Tamandua tetradactyla: one gene and its partners. The protein of the gene in region 2 interacts with the protein of the main gene of each other region in a biochemical or structural test. Links are inferred from orthologs where the notes say so. Each region holds a gene or a part of one and is shown on either strand. Other genes may lie near its edges. The genes, in order: FGF6, FGFR1, ANOS1 and PLCG1.

The links.
Region 1: the proteins of FGFR1 (region 2) and FGF6 interact in a biophysical measurement, tested with the Homo sapiens proteins (2 studies listed by BioGRID and IntAct, with this or other methods). The link is inferred for Tamandua tetradactyla from reciprocal best matches to the Homo sapiens genes FGFR1 and FGF6.
Region 3: the proteins of FGFR1 (region 2) and ANOS1 form a complex in vitro, tested with the Homo sapiens proteins (3 studies listed by BioGRID and IntAct, with this or other methods). The link is inferred for Tamandua tetradactyla from reciprocal best matches to the Homo sapiens genes FGFR1 and ANOS1.
Region 4: the proteins of FGFR1 (region 2) and PLCG1 form a complex in vitro, tested with the Homo sapiens proteins (4 studies listed by BioGRID and IntAct, with this or other methods). The link is inferred for Tamandua tetradactyla from reciprocal best matches to the Homo sapiens genes FGFR1 and PLCG1.

Annotation. Positions count from the first base shown.
Region 1 is NC_135333.1:66,659,194-66,666,568, forward strand, and holds FGF6 (fibroblast growth factor 6), read right to left. Parts: upstream 2,544-7,375; 5' UTR 2,454-2,543; coding exon 2,108-2,453; intron 1,100-2,107; coding exon 996-1,099; intron 780-995; coding exon 549-779; 3' UTR 517-548; downstream 1-516. UniProt on the Homo sapiens protein: Plays an important role in the regulation of cell proliferation, cell differentiation, angiogenesis and myogenesis, and is required for normal muscle regeneration.
Region 2 is NC_135352.1:4,642,008-4,649,035, reverse strand, and holds the start of FGFR1 (fibroblast growth factor receptor 1), read right to left. Parts: upstream 3,023-7,028; 5' UTR 2,380-3,022; intron 749-2,379; exon of another isoform or gene 731-748; intron 1-730. UniProt on the Homo sapiens protein: Tyrosine-protein kinase that acts as a cell-surface receptor for fibroblast growth factors and plays an essential role in the regulation of embryonic development, cell proliferation, differentiation and migration.
Region 3 is NC_135353.1:167,186,097-167,193,988, reverse strand, and holds the start of ANOS1 (anosmin-1), read right to left. Parts: upstream 3,034-7,892; coding exon 2,833-3,033; intron 1-2,832. UniProt on the Homo sapiens protein: Has a dual branch-promoting and guidance activity, which may play an important role in the patterning of mitral and tufted cell collaterals to the olfactory cortex. Chemoattractant for fetal olfactory epithelial cells.
Region 4 is NC_135327.1:11,016,364-11,023,553, reverse strand, and holds the start of PLCG1 (1-phosphatidylinositol 4,5-bisphosphate phosphodiesterase gamma-1), read left to right. Parts: upstream 1-4,181; coding exon 4,182-4,398; intron 4,399-7,190. UniProt on the Homo sapiens protein: Mediates the production of the second messenger molecules diacylglycerol (DAG) and inositol 1,4,5-trisphosphate (IP3). Plays an important role in the regulation of intracellular signaling cascades.

The DNA of each region.
Region 1 (7,375 bases), on a different chromosome or scaffold from region 2:
GTGATCATTTCTGATAAGTCTCAGCTAAAGATCTTGAGACAGAGGCCATGCGGGTTACCCATCCCAATATTTAACAGCTTTCCCCAAGACCAGCACCAATCTCAATCCATCCTCCAAGGAGAGGTAGAATGGTTCTCTAGAGCCTCCCCCCCAAAATAACACTGGGATTCCTTGACTGTTGTCCTGAAATATTCCCTTTTTAACCTTCTAATTTCTGTCAAAAGAATCTCGGGTTCCTTAATCTCAAGGGGACTTTTTCCCAAACCATATTTTAGAATAATCTTCAGCATGGGCTAGGCGACCCAGGACCAAGTGGGTGTGAGAGAGCAAAGGCTTTGGTAAATGTGCTTAGAAAATGGTTGCATTAACCACAGCCCCAGCACTGGCCCTCCCAGGGGTGGCCTATGGTGGGGTGGGGGTGGGACCTGGTGCTAGCTGAGGGTGTCAAAGACATAGGGAGGCGGCTTCTCCAGCCTATTCGATCCAGGACCAGCGGTCTGAATAAAATGTGAACAAATTGTTGAAGGTGAGAATAATAGTCTCCAGGCTCACCTTCCCACTGCACTCTCACCCCTGGGGTCTCTTCCATGAGTGCGACATGGATGGACACACACTCGGGCTGAAGGACAGGCTGGCCTTCTCTGGGCTTTCCAATTCAGGAAATCAAACCTGATTGCGAGGCTGGATGACAGCCTTATGCCCACCGCAGGTTTCCTTCTGACAAGAGCTTTCTGAAGCTTTAGTTCCCCTTTCATTGCAAAGGCTCTGGCAGGTAGAATCTGGAAAAATGCAGTCCAGAGACCAATTGACTGTAAGGCTAATGAAGCACAAGCCTCAAGGCATTTCACTTTCACAGGTTCCTTCCACAGTCCCTTTTTTTTCTCATTCTAGTTAAATAGTCACATCTCTACTCAAAAATCCTATATCATTTTCTTAACTTGCTTAAGCTGCAGGCTTCATAAAACCCAGACCCACCCCTGGCCCGAAGAACTCACCGTTGTATACAGTCTTCCCTTACTGTTCATGGCAACAAAGAGCCCACTTTTCACTCCAAAGAGACTCACCACACCTCGCTCCACTGTGGAAATCTCCAGCAGACCTGACAAAGAAATGAGGGCCCCGTTACCTAAGGCTTGTGCAAATCAGAGTGGGACTTGAGGCTCGCTGTGGTCTGATAATCACAGCCCATCCCCCTGTTTCTGGAAAGTCGGACCCAACATGGCCTCCATCCTCTTCCTTCTAACTTTGGAGATCCTGACTTCTAGACTCATCATGTCCCTCCACTACTCTGTTAAAAATCTAGTTCTGCAAGGGACAGGTCTGACTTCAGAGCTGGGATTGGAATGACCACATACTGATCTCTTTGAGGTTTGCTTTGAATCTGGGTGTCCCTGACATAATCACATCAGGAGCTTGTCTTGGAAGGAAAAAAAAACACCACCACAAAAAACAAGGATGCAGATGATTTTGTTTTTAAATGCATATGCCACATGTTTCAACAAATCCCAACCCATCAAATCGCCCCAGTGCTGCAGCCACGCAGAGGCTGACGGTTGGCCTGGCCCTTGCAGCCCCATCCTCTCTCCAGGAGGGGAGCCTAATGATGCAGCAGCCCACCGGATAGTAGGATAAGGGCCTGTGGACAGGGGGGAGCAGGTTTGAAATAAAACAAGAGGGATGTGCTTCAGCTAGGAAATGTGCAAACTGCTTGCCTTTCCTTTTCAAAGAGGGAATCTGAAAAAAAAATTAGCTGGTGTCTCATTTGGTCCAAGTACTTCTAACTCATTCTCCCCAGCCCTGGCTTATGGCTCCCAGGACTGAACGATCCCAGGGGTCTTACAAGGCCACAGGGCCAGCAGTGCTGCGGCCAGGGGCATCGTGGGGTGGCGGTGAAGGACATCAGGATGCTTGGACCTCAGCACATTAAGCCTGTGGCGGGGCAGGGTCAGACAGCTGGGTGTGCTCATCAGCATCTCACGGTGGTGATGAATAACATTTCTCCCCCTTTAAAGTAAGGTCCCACCCACCCAGAGCAAGCACCCTTCCTCTCTGAGCCCTGCTTGAGCCCGAGCCCTCGAGCTTCCCAACTGCCTGGCGCTGCACTCACTGTAGGGGTTCTCCTCGTGGGTCCCGCTGATCCGGCCGTCGGGGGGCACCTGGAGGTGGAAGCCGATGCCCACGTTGCAGTACAGCCTCCGTTGGCGCTTGATCCCCACCAGGTAGCCACTTTCCCAGTTCACCCCGGCAAAGTCTCCAGCCAGCCCAGTGCGAGACCTGGACAGCAGGGTGCCCCAGCCCCTCGAGTCCAGCAGGGTGCTGTTGGCGCGGGTGCCTGCCGGCGAGGGCACCACCGTGCCCGCTAGGACGCCCAGGAAGACGAGAGCCCACAGCGTGCCCTGAAGGCGTCCTGCTCCCCGGGACATAGTGATGAGCAGCCTCTGTCCCAGGGCCATCCACCTTGCCTCTCAGGCACGTGGTCAGAATTAATGGCCCTAAAAATACTGCCCTTCTTGTTTTCCTCCCCTCGGCATGGCGGCAGGGGCTTATTTTTGGAAGGCAGATGAAGGCTGCTGACATGAAACCAAAGCCTACTTTGGGCACTCGGGTCGGGAGCAGAGGGACCCAGGCTGAGCCCTGGCTGGTAGGGACCATGGCTTGGGGACTCTCTCTAGCTCGGCTGCTCGCTCTGTCCCGAGTTGATTACATTTGATTTGACCTATCTTTATAGTTCAGCAGCCCAGCCCTCCCCTCCACCCATCATCATCCTGACGTCAACTGGCCCAGCTCACTTATCCAAGGATGTAACATTAACCTGCTCCTGGGCCTGGCTCCCTCCCCAGACCCGCATCACCCTCCCCACTCCCCAGGGACTCTGGGAACCACTGTCATTCCAACTATGAGGCAGGAATGAAGGTAGCGGGAGCATCTCTGGGGGAGGGGCAGCTGGATGGGGGCCCAGGGGAAAAGGGAAGTGAGAGGCCACCCTGCACCCAAATTGGGCAGAAGTCCGTTCTTGGCCTGGCAGTGCCGGCTTCCTTATTTAGAGGGGAAAGGGCTTGGTGGTGGGTGATGACCATGGTTTGCAAGTTACCTTTGAAATCTTTTCATGGAAAGAGCCCACAGTCAAGGGCAGGGGGTCACCGAAAGGCCAAACCCTTTCAGTAGGGGAGGACAGAGATTCTGGTGGAGAGCTTGTCCAAGGAGTTTTTGGATTATGAGAGATGGTAGAGCTAGGGTGTAGCGCCTCTGCTCACCACCCCGCCCATGGCATTGACATGCCGAAGGCGTGGAAGTGGTGTCTGTCACTCGACATAGCCTATTGGCCATTTTCTGAGCTGCTGCCGTCCCTGGCATCTGACTGATAATATTCCACTGTGCAGATGAGGAAGCCAAGGCTTAGAGAGACGAAGTGATTTACCGGAGCCACCGCTGCTAATACATGATAAAGCCAGAACATATAAGGCCTGCCTGTGCTTTGAAATTCTGTGTGATATTGCCTATAGTAGAAGTTAGATTTCCAGGCTGATCCACAAAGTCTGCTTAACTCATTATGTGCCAAGAGCACATTACAGAATTTTTTTTTCTTTTTGGCATGGGCAGGCTCCAGGAATCCACAGAATTATTTCAATAGCAGAGAAGAATTAATTTGTTCAAAAAACTTGAGATCTTTGATGCACAGATGTATTTCTGCAATTGCATGTTAACATTTGCTAGGTTATCAGTGTTAGAACTTAGAAAAAATATTTCTGCTGAGTAGTTATTCCCACACCCAATTTTATTTTCCCGTATTATTTTTAAATCGAGTACATGTCCAACTGAGGTATAAATACTTAAAAAAAAAAAAGACCTACCAAGAAAAATCATCAAGAAGTTGCTATGTGAATATAAGATATAAGCAGCTGTCTCTGAAAGTGAGATAAGTTAAGGGTCACATGGTGAATTAATGTGCGTCTAAAATCTAGGTGTCTTGTCTTTCAATCCAGGTCTTAATGTGTTGGCGGACTTTGAGCACCGATTGCACGTGGATTGGAAGGCTGTGTGTGTTGGTGTGTGCGTGTGTTCTGGGGATGGCCTTGAACATCCTTTACACGTAGGAGGGCTGCTAGCTGGTAGGCTCCCTCAGCTACATTCTGCACCTCCCCTGGAGGCTGCAGGCAGCCTGGGAAAAGCTCCCAGGATGTGCTCCACTGCTCAGGCACTCTTCTGAGGCCGCACTAGCTCCCTTCTGATTCCAGCCCTCCTGCTCTGGTCTGGGGTCCCAGGCTCCAGTCTGTGGCTTCTACTTGCCTTCTGCTCCTCTGCTTAGCTCATTTGGATTGATGCTTTGGGGAGAATTTCTGTGAAGTTGAGCATTTCAGTTTTGCCCTGGATGTGTTCTCTCAGACCCCTTGAAATGCAGGCACCCTGCTGTCATTACCCTCAGCTGGCAAAATGATTAGGGAGGGAGGTAAGTACCTCCAATTGCTATCACCTGACTATCTTTCCCTTTCTTGTCACTTCCATTGTCTTATGCCCAAACTCAACATCACTAGTGCTGCCAATTCCACAATGAGAGACTGGCACCTTCTGGCCACAGGTAGAGTCTAATAAGCCTTGTGTTGAAAAGTTATTTTGTTTTGTCTGTTTTTAAAAAGAGGTTATAGGGTGGGCCACGGTGGCTCAGCAGGCAGAGTTCTCACCTGCCATGCCGGAGACCCGGGTTTGTCTCCTGGTGCCTGCCATGTAAAAACATTAAATTAAATTAAAAAAAAAGAAGGTATAGAAGCTTCCTCTGCAGAGTAGGAGATGTCATAAATAATCCCAAACTGGATTTTTTGCTTGATTTCATATAGTTAAGCTTTCATGTATGCGAGAGCAGTGGAGAAACTCTCTTAATGATGTTTAGTTTGGAATCATGTGTTAATCAGCTTTTGCTGGTACCAACTTAGAAACCAACTTCTTGCCCAGAAGCGAGTTGGATAGGAGGGGGAAGGTAGTTGGAATTAAAACTTGCCATGGATGATTGAGAAAGTGCTCATCAACCGAGGTCAGACTCTCCTGGTGGAAATCTTCCTGGAACTCATCCACTTTGGGACTGCCTTGGGGGAGAGATAAACAATAACAAGGTCCATGCCATAGGTCAATAAAAATGGTAACTCACTTTAGACTTACCTCATCCCAGAGTCCTCTCTTTACATACGTTTGTGTTTGGTGTCTCATAAATCAATGGACTTTGGAATGGGAAAGAGTTGGATTTGAGTTCCATCTCCACCATTTATCAGCTGTGTGATATAGGGAAAATTTTTAACTTCTCTGAGCCTCAATTTTTTTTTTTTTATCTGCAAATCCGAGCTTTTTGTTTCATAGGATTGTTCCAGAGATTAGCAATGGTATATGCAAAGGGCATAGGGTAGGAGGGACACGATATAACTCTAACCCTTTCCTTTCTCTGAAAAACACTGAAAATCTCTCACCCCATTAAAGGAGGACAAACCCAGAGTGGGAAGGACCAGCTTTCATCTGAAGGGGTGGAAGAGACACGTGGGCTCCGGTTCCTAACTGCCATTCACCAGAACATATGTTGTGATGGCTGTTAACATATGCAGATGCAGGCAGCGCAGGTGCCTGAAATATTCCAAAAACCAGTAATAGCCTTGGTGTCGTCCCCTGTTAAATATAAAACTTAAGTAATTCATTCTATTAAAAAGCCTGGGTCTTATTTTTATCTGGTGATGTGATGAGGCCCTGTTCTAAATGCGCCTTCTGGGCCTGTCCCTATAGCAACCCCATAGTGCTCATAGCTCCATATATTTTTCCCGAAGGCTAATTAGGTTGACAACTGCTGGGGCTTCTTGGTTTACCAGATTTGCACTTGACCCTTCTCTTGGGGCTTAGGGACCCCTATGGATGTGAAGTGATGAAGAAAAGAGGAACAGGTGGAGGGCCTCTCTGAGAACCCCTCTTTCAAATAGTTGCGTAGCAGCCTTTGGGGGTTGTCAATCACTCTTTCTGGATGAGCCAAGATTTAATGTAGGTGAGTGGGGAAAAAATGTTAATGTCTGTCTCCTTCCACGACAGTATCCGGTCTCTAAGTGAGGCACCACGAGATACAGATTGTTCATATTTGGCAGTGCTTAGCTACACTTGGCTTTCCTATCATCTGCAGGGTGGAACTGCCTCATCACAGCGGGGCAGGCTGCCTTCCATGGCTCCTGTTTCCCACATAATAAAATTCAAACCCTAAGGGAATGACCAGGGGTGACCCTAAGGGAATGCACATAAAGCGCAGAAGAGCCATAGAAGTGTGGATTATGAAAAACTGTTTATTTGCGCTTTTTACATTTGGCTTTGAAAAATTAACATTTGTCTTTTTTTCTAGAGATAATTTGGAAAATACAGAAAATTATAATGTAGAAAATAAAGTAGTGGCTTGTGTTTAATGTTTTTAGGTCTTTTGTTGCAAAGTCTGTTTTTGAGCTTCCTGGGGACAGGGACTGTGCCGGTTTGAATCTGTGGTGGATCCCAGAAAAGCCACGTCCTTTAATCCTCATTCAGTATTGCTTGGTGGGAGCATTTTGATTGTTCCCATGGAGATGTGACCCACCCAATTGTGGGTAGTAACTTTTGATTGGATGATTTCCATAGAGGTGTGTCTCCACCCATTGAAGGTGGAGGATTCCTTGCTGGATTCCTTTAGAAGAGGAAACCTTTTGGAGAGAGTCCTATTTTGTAGAGCCACGAGAAAGCCAGCAGATGCCACCATGTTCGCCATGTGCCCTTCCAGCTGAGAGAGAAACATGAACTCCATCGGCCTTCTTGAACCAAGGTATCTTTCCCTGGATGCCTTTGATTGGACATTTCTATAGACTTGTTTTAATTGGGACATTTTCTTGGCCTTAGAACTGTAAACTAGCAACTTATTAAATTCCCTTTTTAAAAAGCCATTCTGTTTCTGGTATATTATGTTCCAGCAGGCAGCAGACTAGAACAGGGGCCTTGATGCCTCTCTTTGTCTCTCCCTCTCTCTTGCTCACACAAGCACCTCGGCACTCATCCCTGGTGTTCAATGGTGGAGATACTCATGGGTATGAGACGAGCATGTGTAGAGGTGAAGGAATGGGAGGGATCCCTGCCCTAGAGGTGAGCAAAGAGGAACATCCAGGACTCATGAGACTTGCTAGAAGTGGGAGGATTCATGAGAAAATATTTCAAAGGACTTCAGATTGGACTTTTGCAGGGAAAGAGTTAGCTGTTATCTTGCTAGCAGATCCATGGAGGAAACCATTCTTTGTACTTTCCTCAGGGAATTGAACTCTCCTTAGGTCTCATTAATACAAGCCCATTAACTTCACCCCACTACAAATTGCCCGAAGAGATTTCTGGAGTTCCAGAGAAT
Region 2 (7,028 bases):
GAGCCTCTCCCAGCTAACTGGAGGGAAATACGTAAACAAGTCATTACGGAGGCTATGGGGGCAGGCGGTCAGCAATAGCACTGAAAAGAAGGAAGACACCCAAGCTCAGAGGGTAATTAGCCAGACCGAGGCACGTCCCACGGGGCTCAGCTACTTAGCTTTTAAACAAGCCTTGGAGAGGAAACCCGGATGCTGGGCCAAAGGGGGAAAATGGCCACTTTCAGTTCAACAGTCTCAAGGCTAAGGTTCTACAATTTAGGTGGGATTCCAAAAAAAGCGCTGGTCCGGAGGTGCAAAGGGCAGGCCACATCTGCGGAGGAAACAGTCACCTTAATTACCATGTCTAGAGAAAGTGCGATTTCATTGCAGCCTCCAAACTACCCGCCCAAAGAAGGAAACTAGAGAAGTGTTTTCAATTTGAAAGAGCCTGGAAAGGAGAGAGAGGGTGAGGGAGACCAACTCTTCTCCACCCGCTCTCAACTTTGGGCCAGAGGGCGCTGCTTTCCTGTGCCAAAGGATATTACAAAAAAAACAAATAAAAAAAAACACAACTCATCAAGCCAATCCCCGCGTCAGACCTGTAGCCCGTTAGTCAACGGTCAAACGTCTCACTTTGGTTTCCGGGCGCTGCAGCCTCCCCCAAACTCCTTAAAACACTCACAGGGAAGGGCCACAGGCAGCCCCCCACCCCCCCGCCGGCCCTCCCTACACGTCCCCACGCGCTGCGCACCGGGAAAAGGGACGCGTGAACGCCACCGAAGGGGCAGCCGGGGATGGGCAACTCCGAAGGAAGGATTGCGCACTCGGGACAGAAGCTCTAACCGAAGGGAAGAGAGTGCCCTGCTTTTGTTCGCGAAACATCCGTCAGGGCCAATTCTGGGTCAGACCCACGGTCCAAGAGGCAGATGGACTGCTGGCAAGTGTTATCCCCTAAAGCCTGGCCCCCTTCTCCCACGACGTCTCTTTTCTGCAGTTTAGAAAGCGTCCCAACCACCACCCATGAGCAGCAGCAGGAAAATAAGTAAGTGGGAATCCTACATAGCTTGGGATCCAAGGTAACTTTTTCTCCCTGAATCCCAGCCCCTCATCCCCAATTTTTAAGAAAATTTAAAGGACGTGTTTAAGAATCCCCGTTTTAATAGGGGTGGGTGGGATGCTAATAACGTGGCTGCGGTGTACCCGTGTGGAGTGAAATGGAACCAGATGCCGATGGTACGTCTGGAATATGGGAGGAAAAAGTGTTGAGGAAGAGAGACATCACAGACGTGTTCTTAAAATGGGTCTTTTTGTAGCTTCTGGGCCCCAAAAGGACAGAATGGCCTCACCCCCTCTCCTCAAAAAAGGTGTCTGGCTGCTTTCATAGGGCGTGTGTTGTATGAACCCCATCTACCACGTCAGTAAATTCCTCGGGCAATGAAAGGATTCTCCCCCTTTCTCCCCACCCCAAACATAAAGAATGTGGGGAGCGGCGAACAGAGAGCAACAGGCCTAGGTGCCGAGTGAGCCCACCCGACAAAATCCTCATCCCTTCCCCCACCTCTAAGAACCGGACTGGAAGGGTATGTTCCCCTCCCCCATAACCCCATCCCGGGGCTTAACATCAACCCTTTGGGCGCCCTCGCCCTTCTCCAAACTTCCGACCCTGTCTGGGATGGACTGTGCAGAAGACACCCCTCCCTGGGACGGAGAATTCCTCCCTCGCCCTCCGCTCAAGCAGATATCCAGTCATTTGGTGACGCCACCTCCTTAAAACCTATTCAGGGGTAGGCTAGGCCGACCCCCTCTGCCTTCCCCCTTCATACCCCTACCCATCCACCCACCCCCGACCCCAGACTTTCCGGGAGAGGGAAGAAGACATAAATATCCCGGATTGTTAGCTGTCTGTCCGGAGCTACCTGCTGAATTGGGATGAGTCACCACGAAGGGACCCAAAAGGGAGGAGTGAAATGCAACACACACACACAAACACACACAACACGCGCACACACACGCACACACACACCACCACACCACCTCTCTCCCCAGGCGGAGAAGCCCCCAGGGCCGCCGCCGCCTTTGCCCCCATCTCAGTCCCTCTCTGAACTGACCGCTCCGGAGCGCGAGTTGGCAGAAAAGTTGGGCGGCGGGACTAGGGTTGGGGAGGGGGCGCAGAAGGCGACGCTGGTAGATGCGGGGTGGGTGGGGGGCGTAGGGCCGACAAAAGAGGGGTGCAGTAGGCTGGGAGTGGACAGGGAGCCGGAAGGTGGAGGAGGGCTGGGAGGGAGGCGCCGGCCCCGACTGGGCTGCAGCAGAGGAAGCGCGCGGCTGGGAGGCTCCGGCGCGGGGAGCCGCTCGGGACTTCCAGCCTGAGCGGGATCTGGCGGGCGCCGCGGCTCTTACCTCACCCGGCGCTGCGGTGCCGCCTCTGGAGAGTCCGCCGTGGCTTGTGTAGACTGGCGGCTGCCCGCGTCTCCCGCTCCGGCCCGCTGCCCTCGGGGCTCAGCTCGGGTCCCGGCTCCGCGCGGGGTTCGGCGCTTCCAGCCCGGGCGGGAACAATGGAGCCGAAGCTGGTGCCCCGGAGGCGGGGCGGCGGGGGGGAGGGCTCCTGTCCGCCGCCCAGGGTCTCCAGACTCTGTGCCCCGACTCTGCTGAACCCCGCGGCGGCGGCTCACGCTTCTGGCACACCCGGTTCCATCGTCCTGCGGGGGCCCCGGCCCAGCGGCGCGCCCGACTGCAGCACTGGTAACGGTGCGCCCAGCTGGGCGCCACTCGGACTGGAGAAAAGTCCTTGGGCTCGGCTTGGCTTTTCCAGCTGCGGGGAGCGCTGGTGGCTGGGGAAGGCGAGCGAGACGCAATGCGCTAAGCAGGGTCTCGGTCCTGTCCAGACGTGGCCGGCCCAGCTCCCGGCACTGCCGGGGTTCCTCGGCGTGCTGCGGGTGCGGCAGGACCAGGATTCCGGGGTCCCGCTCTCCGCCTCCTCCTGCCGAGGCCGACACACCAGTGCCCGCAGGAGCGCTCCGAGCGCTGTGCGCCGGCGAGGCGCGAGGACTCCCTCTCGCAATCCCACGGCCCGCTAGTCCCTCCTCCTCTTCCTCCCCCTTCAGCTGCCTGCTGGGCCTTGTAGTTCCTGAGCCGCGGCCCCCGAGACAGGGGGAGCGAGCCGCGCCGCCGGCTCTCTTCTGCTGGTTTCCTGCAGTCTGGGCTCGTTGGGCGCGCGTGCCCTTCCCTCTGAGTACCGTGAGCAGGGCGCCGGAATATCAGGCCGCTGGCAAGCTAACAGTTTGGAGGATGAGATGGGGAGAGAATGTAACCATAAGGTTGTTCGTGATAGCATAGGCTTTTTGAGTCTGACGGTTTAACTTGGAAAATGATTTTTCTTACTCTAAATCTCCGTTTTTCTATCTGTAAAAAGGGGCATAATAGTACATTCCACATAGAGTTCTGGATTAAAGGAGACGTAGGTTTACGGTCTGGAACGTAGTTAACAGACGTTTTTATTCGAGTATCTGAGGCTGGAACCCCTTCCTCAGATTCCGTGATCTCATTCAATCCAGCTACATTAATTCAAGTTTTGTGGTTCCCAGGGTACTGAACCCCATAAATTCTACAGCACTCTTCTTATCCTCCAGAAGTCTCTAGCATGTGGTGAATGTTTAGGAAGCTGAGTGAGTGGTGGGAGTTGTGGGGAGGTGTTGGTTTGAAAATGAATCACCGCAGCATTAGGTGGAACCCAGGGAGAATGACCTAAATGTCCTTTTCCCTGGGTCCTTCCATGGGGTGGTATATCTAGTGGTTTCCTAATCCAAAGGTACATGAGTTCTTTGGGGAGCATTTTGAAAATACAAATTCTTTGGCCCACTCACTCCTGTGGAAACAGGCTGTTCCAAGAAGGAGCCAGGAAATCTGTATATATATATTTAAGCTCCCTTATATTGTACCTGTAATGTGAGGGCAGGTTTGGGGCCACTGGTAGAGTGCAGTGCCACACTGAATAGGAAGGAGACTTCAATTCTGGTCCTTTGCTGATGAACTGTTTGATCTTAGACAAGTCATACATCTGAAAATGAGGATGGAATTAAGTAATGGATATCAGTACACCAAAAGTGTTACACAAACAGAAGTAACTAAGTTAATAGTAGGGTCTGTTTCCTCATCCCTACCCCACAAGGTCTTGGAAGTTCAAATACTGATGATTAGGTCCTCCAAACTTATTGAAAGGGTCTCTAAGCTCCTTTTTCATTTCACCATCAGTGAAAGAACAGACAATCCATAACTGTTTATGGACTGACTGAGGAGTAAATATTCAATAAAAATTTTTGAATGAATGAATAAATAGCAGGAACTCACATATTTGTGGAATAAATGAACATCAACTGTTTATAGGGTGTATAGGGTTATTTCTCCTGCAAGCTTGTCTGTCCACCCCTTTAACCTTCCAGCTCCTGGACAGGTTCCACTGATCCTTTCCTATCAGCTGCCCACCCATTAGGCCACCTGTGTTGCAAATAATGCTTATCCCAGAGATGTAAGAAGACCAGACTCACACCCCTCCTTATTAATCCCTGAAACTCCTAGTAATCCTCTGGTATATCCCACCTATTTGATACTTGATATAGCCTTTGTTAGTTGTCTTTTTTACCCTATGCTCTTTCCCTTTAGTTGACTCCTAAACTGTTCTAAGGCAAGGCTCCCTTCTACATATCTGGCCTAGCTCAATTCTCTGTCCTCAGGAGGTTTTTCGTGTATGTTTGTTGTTGATGGATGTGATGAGGGTAGCAAACCTGGGTCATCAGAGGACAAAATACAAAAATGGTTGGGAAGACAAGCCATGGAAGAATCTAGCATTTCATGTTCACACCCAATTACTGTTTTCCCACTTTATTCCCAAAGAAGAGTGGATCACCTTTCCTCTCTTTGCTTTTTTTAAAACAGAAAAACAGTTCATGTTTTATCCTGTTTTAAATCCAGCCTTTTTTTTTTTTTTTTTTTTTCATTTCTTTTGTTTTGGAACCATTTTGGAGTCCCAAGGAGGCAGCTGAAGAGCGTGTCCTTGTTTTAAACCAAAAAGAATGATCTAGCTGCCTCTTTGGTGTTGAGGGGCACAGGCGCTGCCAGTGAACAAATTCCTCTATGCTTCACCCGGTAACTAAAATGAAAGCAAGTGGACAACTCAATAGCTCTCTCTTCCTCAGTTCTTAAGGAAACATCCCACGAGAGCCAGAATGGAGAAGTCCTAAAACCCTGAGGACGAATGGGCCATCAGCAGACTGTGGCTCCTGAATAATTGAGAGCTGACTGCTTTCTTCATTCTAGACCGGCTCCCCACTCGCGCCGCTCCCCACCCCCACCCTTCCCCCAACTCTTTTTGAAATGTAGACCCTCAGCTCAGGACAAGTCTCAGGCCAATGGAGGGAGAGCATCCCCAGGGCAGCCCTGAGCCATTCCAGGCAGCAAGGGTCATATGGCAGCTCTGCCTGCTTCTGTCCTGCACTGAGGACTCCTGGCTCCTTGCCTCCCCACACAGAAATGTAATCTTCCCTTGGAGATAACAAAGAGCTGGGAGGGTCACGGAGGATTTGTAGGCCCCTTGCCCTGCCAGCAAGATGTCGGAGAGGGAGACAAAAGGCCTTCATGCTCTAGGACCTGATAACCAGTTGGGGGCCTGTAGCCTCCCGGATCTACAGGGGGAGGGGAACAGTGCTGAATGAAAAGAAGGGAAACGGAGCTCTCCCCAAAGCCCGGCCGGTCCTCTTTGTTTGGGAACAGTTGCAGAAAATCCCTTCCTTCTCCTTAGAGCCGCTTGTGTTCTCTGAGCTCCTCCACCGAGTAGGGAGCTTCTCTTTCCCCACAGTCCATTCGCCCCACTGCTCCCCTGCGCCATCTGAGTTTGTTTATTTCAGGGCTCAGCAGTCCCAACCAGGGATGAGGACTTCACTAGACCGGTTCATACTTCAGAGTTAACACCTCACTGAAACGGAAGAAGTTTGGGGGGATGGACTGGGCGAGGTTGGGCCTCAAGTCTGCTCCAGTCAGGCTTTGGGTGGGGGGTCCCTTAGCTGTGATAGGAACTGGCTGAAACCCAGCTCTGAGAGCTGGTTGCAGGAAGGGATGCAGCAGGAGTGAACTGTCGGGTTTTCCCCTGCAAAGTGGGCCGTTCACAGGTCCCTGGGAGCAGGTGGGCGGCAAAGCCTTTTGCCCCAGGCCCCTGGAGTCAGGGAGCAACAGTCAGTTACCATCTGGCGGCCATTTGGTAACCCCTGGCTGTTCTTAGCACAGCTTCAGCTTGTCAGGGAAGGGAGGGTCTTGTTTGGCTTGGTGTTTTTGTAAATAATACTTCACTCTCTCCTAACAACTGGGGGTGAGCAAGGGAACTAGCTGCAGTAGTGGCTGGACTTGCCTGGCCCTAGTGCAAGACCATCCACTAAGGTTGGGGAGCACTTTTGTGCTTCAGGCACTGAGCTGGACACGGTGTTTCTGAAAATGAAAGGGACAAGGGCATCCCAGTAGCTCTGGCTTGGGGTGGGGTGGGGTGGGGGACCTAACACTGCAGGCAGTGCTGCGCCAGCCCAGCTGCTTGTGCAAGGTGTTTTGGGAGGAGCAATCAAGAGGCTTAATTCCTTAGAATAAAGATGGCTAAAAGGAAGTGATTCTTGACTTTAAAGAGTGGCAAACAGCATGTGAAAATCCACAAACTCATCTTGGACACTTGTGGAAGGTAAGGCTGGAGGGTACATGCTGGGGTATGAAAGCTTCTGAGTTCTCTTCCTCTAAGAGGGAGAATTCAGTCTCTGGGATCAAACAGGTCTTCTGGGTGTCAGTCCTGATTTTGCCTCTTCGTACTGGCTGTGTGATCTTGGGCAAATTGTTTAATTCCTCTGTATTTCCTCAGTGGTGAAGTGAGAATAATGGCAGTCCCTGTTCTTCAGAGTTGTTGAAAAGATGCACTGAGATAATAATGCATTAATGCACTCGATAGAGTGTCTGGCATGTTGTAACCACTCAATTAATGGTATCCATGGTGGTTAATTTTTTATTCCAGGAACTTTCCA
Region 3 (7,892 bases), on a different chromosome or scaffold from region 2:
CAAGCCTGGCACTGAAGACTATCCCACCACCATACCACCCACCGACAGAGATGAGCCTCCCAATCGCCTCCTAAGGAAGGCCTGACTTAACTATCTGCAGGTACTATATTTGTGAACTTAAAATGGCAACATGCCAAATTCTTTGTTCAAGGCACCACTGTGCTGGACACTGATCACTCGGGAGATACAAACTTACAAACCTTGTTTTCACAATCAAAGTACAGCGTTCACTAGTAAAATGAGTGAGTATAGAACTCCTCGTACTTTTAGTATTAAATTCTATGCTGTTCCAGGTTGGGGGCATATCAGATAATTCAGTTTCCCTGTTCCCTTTTCCACTCCCCTCCCTTAGTACTCAGGATCCCTTTGGCTTTCAGGCACAGCTGACACTACTATGAGCAACTGAAGCAATTCCAATCTTGCAGAGGTGAAGGACACCAGGTGTGTATATTCACAGCTCTTCAGCTCAGCGGCTGGAGGGCTGGGAGGTATTGGAAAGCGCACTGAATTGGGGCAGAAAATAATCAATTTGAGCCTCCTCTGTAGCCATACCGCACCAGGTCAGACTGTTCCTCAGGTTCAGAGTTTCTGCCTGAGCTATTAGTCCACAGTTCAGGTTCTTTCCAGCCAAGGCTTGGCAGCATTCACACTTGACAGTCTACACATCCGTGTGGCATCAAGGATGAAGGCAACCTTTCCCCACCCTTACAAGGAGGCCTAGACTCCTGCAAGAGAAGTCAGAAATAGGCACTTGCTCCAAAAACAGACTTCTTCTTGGGGATATTTGTACAAGTTGGAGATGTCAGGAAGAACAGACAGAAGGAGCTCTTTCAGGTCTTTTTCCAGCCCATTCTCTGGGCACGTTACATGCACAGAGGAGTGGGTTGGCTAAGCCTGATTCCTCCTTTTAATTATTAAAGGGGGAGGGACAGGGAAGCTTGAAGCTGTATCTGATTTTATCAGGAAAGTGTGTCTTTTCACATCTTGACAATGCTTAATCCCTGTAATTGAGATAAATCAAACAGGCATTACCAGGTTAGGGTTAAAACTCCCAGAACGGCTTTGCCACTGATTACAAAACAGCAGTTATTAAGTCCTAACTGCGTAATTTGCAGCTTATTTCACCCCAGCTAATTAAAATGTAATCAGGATTGTTTGGCAACGTGTATTCTGTCAGCAGTTTCTCTTCAGAAGAGAAGTCATGCCAAGGGACTAGAAGAAAAGCCTTTTCACCAGAATTGGCTTGATCTAAACTATTTCTTTAGCCATGCAAACTGTAAAACAAATAAATTACAGCAACTGACAAATTCCATTAAAAAAAAAAAAAGATACTCTCCCTCCCCGGGAATGCGCTGTTATGTTTTGTTTTCTGTTATTTAAACAATACTGCTGCATCTTCTCAGGACTTTCATGGCAGAGGTGGGTGAGTCTGAAACCAAGTAACATCTCCAGGACATCCGAGCTATTTCACCCCACCAGAGCCCCAGGTTCTTTCTCCTAAGACCATTTCTCTGAAACCTACTAAGAAGAAACGAAACTACGCTCCCGCACCCACAAACTTCACGGGCTGGTTCGATCTCTTTAAAGAACCCAATTTTCAGCGGTCGCCTCCACTCTGCACAAGGTTTCCTTAGCTACGGGGAACCGTCCCAACTCCACCAACATTAAAATCGCTCCTCTTGCAGCTTAATTCCCGGGGCCCATCGGGAGGCCCCCTCTTTCCCACCCAGGCGAGAGGGGCGCCCGCTTATTCCTTAAGGGCAGAAGGCTCGGCTTGCAGCAATGGTCCCGCCGAGTAACAGGCTCTGGTCTCCTCCTGGCCTCCGCAAGCGGAGAAGTGAGGATCTTGAAACCAGTGAGCAGCTCAGGCTAGACAGCAGCGCGCAAGGGAGAGCAGCAGTGCCGGCGAGAGAAGGCAGGCGGCCGGGAAGGATTTCAGAGCTCGCGCGCTCGGATCGGCTGCGCCAGGGAGCTGTGCGCTCTGCGCGAGCGGAGGCGGGGCGCAGCTCGCGTGCGCCCACGGACACCGGGGTTCCTCTGGAGCCCCCAAAATCCGGCAACCCGCAGGCGCAAAGGGTGCTGTTCCCGGAGAGTCTTACAGAGCCGCATTCGCTCAAGCACACACACCCTCAGGCAGAAGATTCTGCCCCGGCGAAGCAGGTAAGGAACCTGGGTCTCCACCTCCGAGCACCCCAAACACGACCCCTCCACGCTCCCTATTTCCTGCACCTCTCCCAATGCCTTCACGCCACTCGTTAGTAAGAACTTGAAGCTCTGGGGCTCAAAAGTGGGGTGCGCACAGCCAAACCCCGCTCCAACACACACACGCTAGGACGCACGCCATGGATGGCCCCACTGCCCTGCTAGAGGGTCGAAAAGTGGCCAGCGAGCTCCGGGCCATGGCCTAGGAGGGACAAGTGTCAGCTCGGGGGCACCTGCAAGGCTGGGCACGTCGCACGGTGCCCCTGGCGCGCCTCGGGGACTAACCTGGCAGCGCCCGGCACTTTGCGGGACTCGCCAGCAGCGCAGGATCTCCCGCAACTAATAAATCTGCACCCATCGGTGAGCGCCACGAAATTGCCGTCCCACCCCCCAAGGAGGCCGCCCTCCTTTTCCCGCCGAGAGGAAGAGTCGCGAGGAAAGATGCTGCGGGCTGCTTTAGCGTTTCGGGAGCAGTGGGGAAGCTGAGAGGGAGGGTCCCGGGGCCCGGGGTGGAAAAGCAGTGCCGAGGGAAAGCCGAGACCCGTCGAAGTCGCGGCGGTGGGGCGGGGTAGGGGACGCGGGCCCGCAGCCTCGGGGGCGCCCAGCGGGCGGGCGGAACCGGCGCAGTACCTGGAAGTGCTGGAAGAAGGCGGAGATGCGCGTGATCTGCAGGCTGAGGCACCTGGAGGCGCAGCGGGCGCGCTGGACGCTCCCGGCCGCCAGCGACTCGTCCAGCCGCCGCCCCGCTCCAGGCCCGGCCGCCAGGCAGCCCCCAGAGGCCGCCAGCCAGAGGCATAGGGTCAGGGCGGCGCCGGGCGCGCCGGGATCCATGGCTGCGGGTCGGGGGCGCGGGCCGAGGCTCCCCGCTCCGCGCCGGGGCCGCACTGCCGGGCACCTCGCGGCCGCCGCGCCGCCGCCGGGAAGTTCAAGCCGCCAGGGCTGGGGGGAGGGGGCGGGCGGCCGCGCCATTGGCTGGGCGGGCCCTGAGTGACAGGGAGCCCGCGCGCAGGTCTCCGGGCGGGAGCCCCGGACCACGCCCGCCTCCTCCCCGCGTCGCGCCGTCGGGGTGGCCGCCCGCCCGCCCCCGACGTCCAGGTGTGCGGCGCTGCCCGCTGACAGGTGTGCGCAGGCCCGCAGCTGGGCAGAGACCGGCGCGCCAGGGGCCCTCCGGGCGTCGGGGCTGTGGCGTGAACGCTAGAGCGCCCGAAGCTGTGTGCCGCCTTCCGGGTGGCCGCCCCACGTCCAGGCTGCTCTCGGGCTCTCCCCAAGTGGGGACCCAGCCTGGAGCTCTACTAACAAGGACGTGGTTAGAGCGGAGAGCCGGACCAGGCCATGTGACTGACAGCGCCCCCTTCCCTTCTCACTCCCTTTTGCCGATCCTTTCCTGCTCCATCGCTCCCCCCTCCTAGTATCACCTGGGAAAGTGAGTACACAACCCCGCCGTTTGTTAAACAGGCCCGCGCACCTTGTTTGGCAGGTGTCTGTTCCTAGCCGGCGCCACCCCGCCGCCGTGCGCGGACAACTCTAAACGCAAGGCTGGTCTCCCACTTGGGTGTGCCCAAGCCACCTAATTCGGCCTTTTAGCTTTGAAATTGCTGCTCCGGTGTCTCGTTATATTCCAAGGTCCTTCATCACCTCTGTCCTCCCTCCTCAGCCAGAGCCCTGCCAGAGAAGGAGACCCCAGGCATTTGTAACAGAACATCCCATTTCCCCAAGGCTCGGGCCGTGGGGGAGGGGGGGGGTTGAGGAGCGTGCCCCCAGCCAGCTTGAAGGGAGAAGACCCACCAGAGCGCTGGGACCTGGGCATGGAGAATGACTGCACTATGGGGGTGGAGAGACTGATAACACCTAACCCCACCACTGATATTGGGACATGCTCATATATATTCAAATGCAGAAAAAATGACCCACAGCCACATTCTCACACCGAACACTACAGGTTTTAAAAGAGTGTGGCTGTAAGTGTGTCAGCGTGCCCTGAACCTGCTGAAGGATACAGTACAAAGCCCTACTGATTCCTCTTTGCATATGTCCTAAGGAGCTGGAAGATGACAATACAACCTCTTTCCTCTACTGCACACTTAGGTTCTGTGATTTTGAGACCTTTCTGTTAACAAATGAGGATAACTGGGGTTTTTGCTATGATGGCTTTTTCTATTACATCATCTTATATGTATACTTCTTCACGCAATTTATGTCAGGGAGGCCAGAGTATTAGAAGCTCCCAGAATTGTTTTTGTTAAAAAGGGCCTGTAAGGCCCGCCTAGCTTCAAGGCAGTGCAACCTGTTCGAACCCCCAGGGTCGCAGTCTTAGAAAACCCCTACACTTGGTTTAATGCTCTGCTGCTACCACGTTGAAAATTGTATGCATTTTTTGAGCAGGGAGCCCCCATTTTCATTTTGTGCTGGGCCCCCAAAATTACATAGCTGGTCCTGTCTGCCAGTTTTAGCCATGACAATACTATACTTGAGCTGGAAATCTAAAAGTGTAGGCATGAGCTCATGAGAGTTCAATAGTTTGTTTAAAAGATGCTCAGAAATGGAAACCTTTTTAAAATACATTAAATTTGCTGTTGATTAAGAGCAAAGAGACTAAAGAGGTTAGAGGAGTGACTTCTGACTTCAGGGATTTTTTTTGGTGGGAGGGGGGTTAGTTTTATCACTTTCACTTGGGAATCAATAAAAACCTTTTTAAAATACATTAAATTTGCTGTTGATTAAGAGCAAAGAGACTAAAGAGGTTAGAGGAGTGACTTCTGACTTCAGGGATTTTTTTTGGTGGGAGGGGGGTTAGTTTTATCACTTTCACTTGGGAATCAATAAAAACATTTCCAAAAACTGCAGTGGATCCTTCCACAGTGTTTTTTTAAGTTTCAAAGTAAAGTAAACACCTGGTCTTGGTGAAGGCAAGGATTTTATGCAAACCTGTATTTTTTAAAGGTGTCTTTGATTTACAATTTTGCATGTCATATCATGAAATTTATATTCTAGAAAGTGAAATCATAAGGACAAGTATGCTAAGCTTTTAAAAACAGTCTTTAAGCATTCAAAGGATTTGCTGTATTTTTTTAAAAAGCAACTTCTGTGTTACTTCTATGTTCTATGGAATATTCATTTTCATGAATAAATGCATTTCATAATAAACCACAAAAGAGAACAACTAGTCAGTTGAAGAGAAATCTTAGGATTTCTAAGGGCCAGTTTATTATGCGTATGTTAAAATAATACACCTTCTTCCTTTAGAATTAGCCCAGAAATCCTCCGTGATTATAAAGGTCTCCTCATGCTATTTATTTTAATTCCAATTTAAATAACTTCCAAAAAGAAAAAAAAACATTTTAGTAAAGTCAGAGTAACAGTGGAAATCTATAACTCTGCTCATATAACCAATTTACTATGCAGCTGACCCTGGGAGCTAGTAAATGGTACCTCTCTAACTTTTCACATAAGTCATAAGCCCACCCTAACTTCATGAAAACCAGCCACCCAGGAAGAGAACAGTCAGTGTATGCTGAAGTAATGATGGATAAATGAATGGGTGGGAATCGTACAGGTGTGCTTAGAAAGAAAATACTTAACATGTCTTTCTCCACTTGAATACCATTGCCTGAATTTGTCTAGAGAGGAAACAACCTTCAACTGACTTCGGTTTGTCTCGAAGGAGACAAAACACACATCTGTCAAGAAGAGTAGAAAAGGGATTTAATTTACTCTCAGTTATATCCATGGGAACAAAGGCAAATGTAGCTCGGTCAGGTTGTAAAAACGCAGATAAAATGAGGGACCTTGTTCATTTCGGAAAACGCGAGTTATGCTCTTCCTTGAGTTTTCTTAAGCTGATAAGCCCCTCCAGTGCCCCCCACCAAAAAAAAAAAGAAAGAAAGAAAATGGAGCATGAAAACTACCTGGGAAGCTTGCTAAAGATAGACTCCAGGGCCTCAACTTGAGAGATTCTGGTTTAGTGGGGGTGGGGTTTTGTAATATAAACTTTTAACCAACTCCCCATGTGATTCTATAGCCATGAACCCTGGACTGTGGTTTGATACTGATTTAGAAAACCTGTATTCCTTTAAGAACAAGGGTGGCAACTTCAATTTAGACAGCACCTCTGACAACTTTTTGAAGTACCTATTTATGCATATGTGTTGATGTGGATTGGACACAACGATCCATTTCTTACTAAATCACATGATATTTTGTTCCAATACATTTAACCAAGACAATCTTAGATTAATTTTTTCCAGGCTAGAAATTTGTCTTTTTAAAGACTTTTTAAGTTCTCCAGCTCCATTTGGTTGATAAGGATGAAATATGAAAGAATCAAGCATAATCCTTCTCTGACACGCCCCTCTTAGAAAAGCAAATTGAGATCTACAATTGGGGAAGAATAAATACTTTTGTTTGAAGCCCTGAATGAGTTTTGAACAGAATGCCATTCCTGTCTTCAGGGACTTTGAAGTAAGAGGAGGAAACTCAAATGAGCTGCCAATTTCCTTCCTAATTGCCTCCATTTGATAACACAAAAACTTGCACCTTCTCTCTGAAACTGAAATTAACTTCAGGAAACGCAAAAGTGGGAAAACTAAGAAGCTGTTCTGCCAGGGCTAGGCCTACCCTTACCCTCCCAGGTGACGTTCTCAGAATTTGCTAGACTGAGTCTCTGAAATCTACTCCTTTACTATGCTTTGCTATTCCTCCAAAAATTCTTTCATTCTGCTTAGCTTGAGATGGCATGATCCAGGGAATGCTAAGAAAGTTACTGAGAGAGAAAAAAAAATGAAATGGGAGCACAATTTAATTGGTTATATGTCAGATTTGTATGTTTTGCAATATGATTTCATTCTAGAATGGGTGTATCTTTATGGTACTGATGGTCAACTTAATCATTTTACAAATGAAAATGTGTAATTGGGGTCAGTGAATATTCACTTTAGTTTTCACAAAAAAACAGCACATCCACTTGGCAATCACCTGCTTTCTTTTATCATCTGCAACGCCAGACTGCCCAGTTGGTTTTGGCTTTATCCCAGAGCACAATTTTCTTCTCAATACAATTACAAAAAGTCAGTAGCAATTTTTGTAGGCCTAAAGGTACTATATCAATCACTTAATGTTTCCTAAAATTTTACTAAGACGTATCAGACAAAAATGTGTCTTCGATTACTTTTTGAGTTAAAGAATATTTTAATGATTTTTACTTCATTTGCATTGTTTCATTAAAATACTGTCAAATAACATGAGTCCAGACTACTCCATGCACACATTGCAAAACTTTGTCTCCTTGCCCCTTTCCCTCCCTTCTACCAAAGTCACCAACTAGTAGTGATAAATCTGCTTGTACCTATTCCTTAATTGGAATAATTATGAAAATATACAGGCTTTTTTGTTTGTTTTTACCGGTCTGCCTTTTTCATTTTTCAAGGATTGAATATATGAGGAACGCGATATTTGACTGTGAATGTTTTTTTCCCTCCCAGCACCCCCACCCTGGGAATTTTAACTTCAGTACATGTGCTGATCACTGTTGATTTTAGTGTCTTCCCCCTGCTCGTCCCCCTACACACACACACACACACACACACACAAACAGCAGGACACTGAATTTTTTGAAACACAAATCCCTGGATGTTTGATACCAGTAAAGTAGAGCACTTGCCCTCAAACCTTGGCAATTAACTAATTTGACCCTA
Region 4 (7,190 bases), on a different chromosome or scaffold from region 2:
AGTAAAAGTTAAAAAGGAAAGGGGCAAAATTTTATGCATGGGTCAAATTGGATACTGCAGGTCTATAAATCTGCCTACCTTAGATTGCAGAATGAGCTTCTCTGAGCTATTCTTTCAAATTATACCTTCTATATTCACCTAAGGTCATTAGGAACAGACAAATGAATATTGCTTCATCATTTGTTGTTAATATGTTGAGGACATTCTCCACTATTTCAATCAAATAAGTTTCCATGTGAGAAACTTATAATTTAGGCCCAGGAAAATGTTTCTACCCCCAAGAATCAGAATAGAAAGAGCTTTTGCCTTGGCTACCACTCATGGCAGCTACGTTAACCTATGTGGTTATTCTATCATCTTCTTATGACCCCGTACCCATTCTTATAGGACAATATTTTTGACTCTTGTTTTAAATACCCAACTTTTTTTTAGCGGTTGGAAAATAATACATTTGTGGAGGGTAAGGAAGGACTTACAGCCCCAACTGCTGTGAGAGCCACCTGCAGAACACCTTCAGCTGTTGGCTCCCTCTAAGGGAGCCCTCTGGCCCTGTGCTCTTCCCAGGGCAGTCCACATCCAATGACTGGTTGAGGCGGGGCTATGAAGACCAGCCAGTCCAGCCCTAGCTGGACAACAGAACTCCCTGAGGGTTGGCTGAGCCTGTCATCAGGCTCGCATCACAGCTTGATTTCTCCCTCTGCCCACTCCTGTTTCCTTCCTCTTCCTTCCACAGTATTGATCCCAAGGGCACTTCCAAGTAAACATTCTGCACACTAACCTCTGTCATAGAGTCTGTTTCCGAAAGAACCCAACTGCAACAACATTTAACAAAATAGAAAACAGATTACGTAGTGTTATTATGGAAAGGCGTGAGGATATACAATAAATGCTTATACATACACAGGAGGCAACACAGCATTGACTCTGGAGCCAGGTTGCCTGGATTTGAATCCCATCTCTGCCACTTATTAGCTGTGTGACCTTGGGCATATCCCTCAACCTCCCTGTGCTTCAGTTTTCTCATGTGTAAAATGAGGATACTAACAGTGCTATCTCAGTGTTGTAATGTGGGTAATGCTGTTACATGGTGTTTACTACGTGCCAAGCACTGTTCTAAGTGGTTGTTAAATAGAACAAAATAAATCTGTGAGGCCAATCCCGCAGGGCCGGAGGAGCAGCTGAACGACTTCTCCCCAATTTCCAGGCACAGGCACTGGTGTAGGCTAGGGCATGTTGAAGCATGAGTGTTCACAGAAATAGGCCCAAGCACAGCTTGCCCGGGTGATGTCACGGATGTGTGCTTGTGTGGGTGCTGGGGCTACTCCCTCCCAACCTGTGTAGCTACACGTATTGCCAGTAGCACCCACGTACTCATATTTTTACTGAGCTTGGGGAAGCCCAGGCCAGCTACACCCTTTGTTGCCCTGTTTTTCTAGAACTGCCTTTGGCAGAGGGAGGCACCTGAGACCTGGGATGCTGGTCTAGAAGTTCCAGGAGGAAATGGGTCTTTGTTTCCTCATCAAGGGACCTGGCAGCAGACTCAAAGCACAGGCTCCAGGTGGCAGGGATTTCTGGAACCCCTGTGGGCCCAGCCCCAGCAGCAGAAGCAAAAGCAAAGGAGTATGGTCTGCACACTGGGAAGCATCCAGAGAATGGAGAAACAGATCTACAAAGTGCAATTCAGCCCAAGTCAGAACAGGGAAGTTTAACAAGGGCTGAAGCGTTTAAGAGGGGATCTTCTAGGGAAAACGGACAAGGTCTGGTTAGGCTGGTAGAGGGGGGGCTCCCATTCAGCCTTCACCTGCCTTCCTCCTTATCTCCTTATTCCCTACTCCCTCCCTTACTAAACTCTGCCTTCTTTCTATTTCTAAACTCCCCAAACTCTTTCTGGCCTCAGGGCCTTTGTACATGCTGTTTCCTCAGCCTGGAAGGCACTTTCCTCCAACCCAGCTCTAATAATTCCCCTGAATATTTCTAATGAATCCTAAAGAGACCTTCCCTGTCTACTTGATCTGAGGTAGGTCTCTCTAATGTTTTCTCTCACAGCCCCCTGTTCTTTTCCTTCCATCACAGTGTTTCTTAAATTAATGTCTGTGAATTCTGGGCCCCTTTGTCCTCCCAGCTTGTGGTTCTGACACCTGGCAGAGGTGTGCTCAGGTTCTGTAGTCAGGGACAGTACCTCTTTAAGCCCAAACAAGCCCAAGCTGCACCCTATGAGCAACCATGTGCTGCTGGATGCTATGTTCTGCCTCTTCTCACCCATACTGACGAACCAGCTAGCTCTATGCCCCCTGACTACTCACTGCCATGGCCTGCTTAAGCCAGGGATTCTCCTGTGAGGCAGAAACCACACAGCATCAGACTTGAGTTCAAATCCCAGGGCATCGACTTGTTTGTTATGCGGCTCAGGGCACGCCGCAGACCTTCTCTGCATCTCGGCCTCCTCAGTAAAATGACAACGATACTGTGAGATCAGAGAGTGATTGTGAGGATCAGGTGTGATCACAAGCACAGACCGTGAGTTCCTTCCCTCCTATTCTAAAGGGCCGTCGCTAGGTGGCAGTCCATCTCAGCTGCCCCATATCCTCTTGGGCCCAAGCTCCATGAAACTATTAGGACAAAGCTTTTCAACTTCATGCTGGAATTCTGAGCTTTTTAAGAGCCATATTCAAGGGAATCACAGACAAGAACAAATGCACAAAAAAAGTTACCACTACACCAAGACAAGGTCAGAGGCAGCTCCAGGCACGGCACTAGTTCTTGTACAGTTCGGTTACCAAAGTGAGCGCCCACTCTTCTAGCCTCAGTAAACCTGGAAGCTGCTGGATGCTGTACTGGGCCTCTCAGCCCTGACCACCTGCCTGGCTCGACGCGGTGCTGTGACAGGGGGCTGCTAGAGTGCAGGGACGAGTCCAGGGAACAGCTTCAGAAAGACAAAGCGTGTGATAGTCAAACCACCACAAAAAGGCCTTGTGGCTGGGGAATGGAGAGTGAAGGGAAGGAGACGAGAGGGAGGGAATGGCAGGCCTTCTGGGCCACAGCCAGGAGTGTGGTTTTTAAGTGCAATGGGAAGTGAGGGAGGGCTTCAGGCTGGACGAAGGGGAGCATGTTTTAATTTCATTTTAAAGATGAAAGCATGGGGAGAGGATGCAACAGACGGGAAGCGGGCAAGACCGAAGGTGCGCTGAGGTGGATGAAGGACACTGGGACTGCGGGACGAGAGGCCTTGCAAAGAATGCTCAGGCCTGGAGGGCGTCTTCCACCGGGCGGCTCTCGAGGACCACGCCGGCCGCAAAAGCGGGACAGGAGTGGGTCTGGTTAGCCGTGGCAAGAGAGGCCCGCCCGCCAGCCCCGCACGGCCAGAGGGGAGGAGGTGGGACAGGACTGCTGCCCATCAGCAGCCGCCGGCCAATCCGCAGACGACCCCGCCCCCACCCCTCCCCTGAGAGGGCGCACGGAGGGCCCGCCCCCGCCGCCGCCGCCGCCGCCGCCGCCGCGGGTGTGAGGCGGCCCGGCCTGGCTCCCTCCGCCGGGCATCTCGCCCAGGTAACTTGGTTTGGCCGGGCGGGCCCAGGAGGCGATCTGCACCCTCTTATCTCCTCCCCGTGGCCGCGCGGGCGGCCCTTGGCGAGTGGGGCGGGCCGTGGGGGCTGAGGAAAAGGCTGCGGCTGGGCCTGTGCGGGACGGCGGGCTGGGCGGCCTTCTGTGCCGGTGCGACTGACCGACGGGGCTGACGGCCGGGCCCTGCAGCCTGGGGGCGGGGCCGCCGTGCGGGACGGGGGCCGTTCGTGGCCGTCAGGCTGCGTGCGGGCTGCGCGTGGAGACTCGGAGGGACGACTGATTGAGTGGGAGCGGCGTGCGCGCGCCCGGGGCCATCACGCCCCGCGCCCCCGCCTGGGGCCTGTCCGGGGGTCGCTGGGCGCAGGCGCGACGGGCCGGCGGGCGGGGGTCCTCCCCACGCGCGCGCGGTCGCCTTTGTTCCCGGCGCGCGGGCCGGGGCGGGGTCTGCAGGGACGCCCCGCCCCCTCCCGCTCAGGCCCCGCCCCTCGGTCTCCGCCCGCAGGAGCCGCCGCCGAGTCCCGCTCGCCGGCCGCCGCTGCCGTCGTCGCTGCCTCTTGCTCCCGGCCGGCCGGGCCTGCGTCGCCGCCGCGCCCCTCGCTCCGGCTCTCGCAGCGGGAGCCATGGCCGGCGCGGGGTCCCCCTGCGCCAATGGCTGCGGTCCCGGCGCGCCCTCGGACGCCGAGGTGCTGCACCTCTGCCGCAGCCTCGAGGTGGGCACCGTCATGACTTTGTTCTACTCCAAGAAGTCGCAGCGACCCGAGCGGAAGACCTTTCAGGTCAAGCTGGAGACGAGGCAGATCACTTGGAGCCGCGGCGCCGACAAGATCGAGGGGGCCAGTGAGTGCGCTCCTCCGGGGGCCCGCTGCGCGCGCGGGGGCGGCGGGGAATCCGGGCCGGGCTCCGGCGCGCCCCGGCCGGCGGCTGGAACAACTCGGACAAACTTTCGGCCCTTCTCCACCCCCTCCGGTCCCCAACTCGTTTCGGGTGGTCACCGGGGGGGCGGGGGTATCCGGATCCTCGGTCACCTGACAGGACACCCCCTCCCCCAGCTGGCCGCGGCCAGCCTTTCTTCAAAAAGAGCGGTCTTAGTGAAACTGGACCATCAGGCCGGGGCTCTCATTTGTAAAGGAGCCTTTGGGTTCCCTAAGGAGAACTTAGGAAGATGTTGGGGGAGGACTGGTCTTGGAACAGAGCCAGGCTTTCTCATCCCCCTCTTGGGAGGAGGGAGGAAGGTGGTCCTGTTTGCTTTGGAAAAGCCGCAGAGAAGGCAATGGCTGCTCTTTCCTGCTGCTCCTTTTGTCCTGAAGCTGAGTTTTGGAGGCCTGTGTGGTCAGCAGACACCCAGAGCCAGGGCAGGGACTCACAGTGGGTCCAGCTCCCTTGAACTTGGGAGCACATTCCTAGGAGCTTGACCTCAAAAAAGGCCAGCCTGAGTGCCTTGGAGTCAGGTATTCTTTTCAAGAATGCTCACCCAGTTTGGAATTAGCCCTTTTTGTCCTGGGTCCGGTGGTTGCAGGGAGCTGGGAGCCAGAAGCTGTTGCTCTTGGTTTCCTGCCTCTTTCCCTTCCCAGTCCTGAGCTTGGCTGCTTTGTGCAGGTCTCTGGTGGGAGTTGGAGGATTCTGTAAAACCCCAAATCTTTGGGAGTTTTACTCTGTTTAGTATGTGCCTGTGCTGTGGCCGGATGGGCACTCTGCTCTGCCCTCCATTTCCCCACCTCCGAGTGTGGAGAGATGATGTGACTGCAACTGTAGGCTGTGGTTTGCTTCCTGCAAGGACCCCAGCCGCTCCTGTTAGAGAGCCATGTTCAGAACCAGGTCCATGTGGAGGAAGGGGGTCAGGAAGTGCCGCCCCCAAGGGAGGCTCCTCCAGACCTTCCTGGCTAGGGTGTACATGGGCTGCAGATGTGCTAGGCGATTGGGAAGAAAGAAGGAAGGTCTTGTGAGGCAGCCAGCCACAACTACAGACTCCAGATCTGACAGAGCCGCTTGAACCGTACCCCCATCTTAGCTGTCCAGTCACTGGGGGGAAGAGTTAGGGTGAGGTGGCTGTGGACCCCAAGGGGAGGAAGGACAGACACTGCCAGCTTTGGTGGTGCCCCCGTAATGTGCTAAATTTGGTGGCACTTTAAACAGTGGCTGCCCATCAGGCAGTAAGTGTAGCACGGTGGTTGGAGGTGGGCTGTGTTTGAAGCCCAAATATGAGTGTGTTCCCCAGCCAACCACTTCTCCGCACCTTAGTTTCCTCATCTGTAGAACGAGGGTATAGTATATCCATTCATATAGTGTTGCCGTGGGGATTAACTGAGATCACTGATGGAAAACATCCAGCACGGTGCCTGCCATGTGGTATATGTTTAGTGCATGGGAGCTGTTATTAATAAGCATAGTGTGGCCGCCCTCCTAGACCCTGACTGGGGAAGGTTGAGGGAGGTAGAGTGTGGCTGCAGGAGAGGATGAGCTTGCTAGGAAGGAAGGAGGTTGGGGACCAAGCTCACATTTACTTAGATCATTACCTTGAAATAGGGAGGAAATGGTTTTGCTTTGCCCCAATCCATCTCCACCCCCCACCTACCTACCACGTAGAATGGTATTTCTGCAGGGAAGGTATTTGACTATCTTTTTTCTAAGTTGGGGCCTGAGAAGTGTGGAGGGGAAGTCTAGTCCATGGTGTCTCAAGTCTTTGGGGACTGGAGGCAGAAATGTGGATTGATTACCCTATTCACCAAGGATGGGGTGGCTAGATGTGTACAGATTCAGTGATCTCATCAGGTAGCTGTGGATTTGAGAGGCCTGGAGGGGAGTAGGCAGAAGGTGTGGGAGGGGCCCCAACCCTTCATTTTGGGGGGCTCAGGTTGAAGGAGTCTGGGTAAAAAGGCTTGTAGGTTACTTGAGCAGAGCTCAGTTCTTGTCAGTGTAACCTCCCTCTGAAGCCTTGCCTTGCTTCTGCCTGTGCATTGGGTTCACCCTCTGGTGGGCTCCAATCCCTGCAGCCTCCTCTGCAGGCTCCGATGGGCTGTGCTGTGCTGACCAGAGGGCAGAGGAGAGTTGGGCTGCCAGCTCGGCCCCCTGCTACCTGGCCTCTTGCCCAGGGGCCTCAGGGGCCTGTCTTTCCCCTGCTGACCCTGCCAGGGTACCATGCAATGCCTGTGGCCTGGCCAGAGAGAGGAGCGTTTGTGTCTGTGGGCCGGAGGAGAAAGAGTGTGGTTCAGTGAAAGTGCATGACGCTCGTCTGTCAGACCTTGTCGTGTTCTAACTCCACACCCTCACTTGACCGCCTGTGAAGTGGGGCTAGCACCTGTTGATTTCTAGGGCGGGGGGTTTGGCTCAAAGGAGGAGTGGGGAAGTGCTTTGGTTGTGGTGGTGGTGTAACAGGGACCAGGTTGTTGTTTGACTTTTTTGTTGCAAATACTGACATAAGTGAATGAAAAACAATAGACTGCCTGCTGGGTTCTGTAGACTTAGTTGTGTGTTCGTGGCTAACTCTCACAAGGGTCCATCCATTTTACAGATGAGGAGATGGAAATACAGGGAGTGGAGTATGTCACAGGCGATACTGCTAGTGTGAGACAACCCTGGTGGGACCCAACTCTCCAGCTAGTGGCTGGCCAGCCAGTCCCAAGATGACTCCA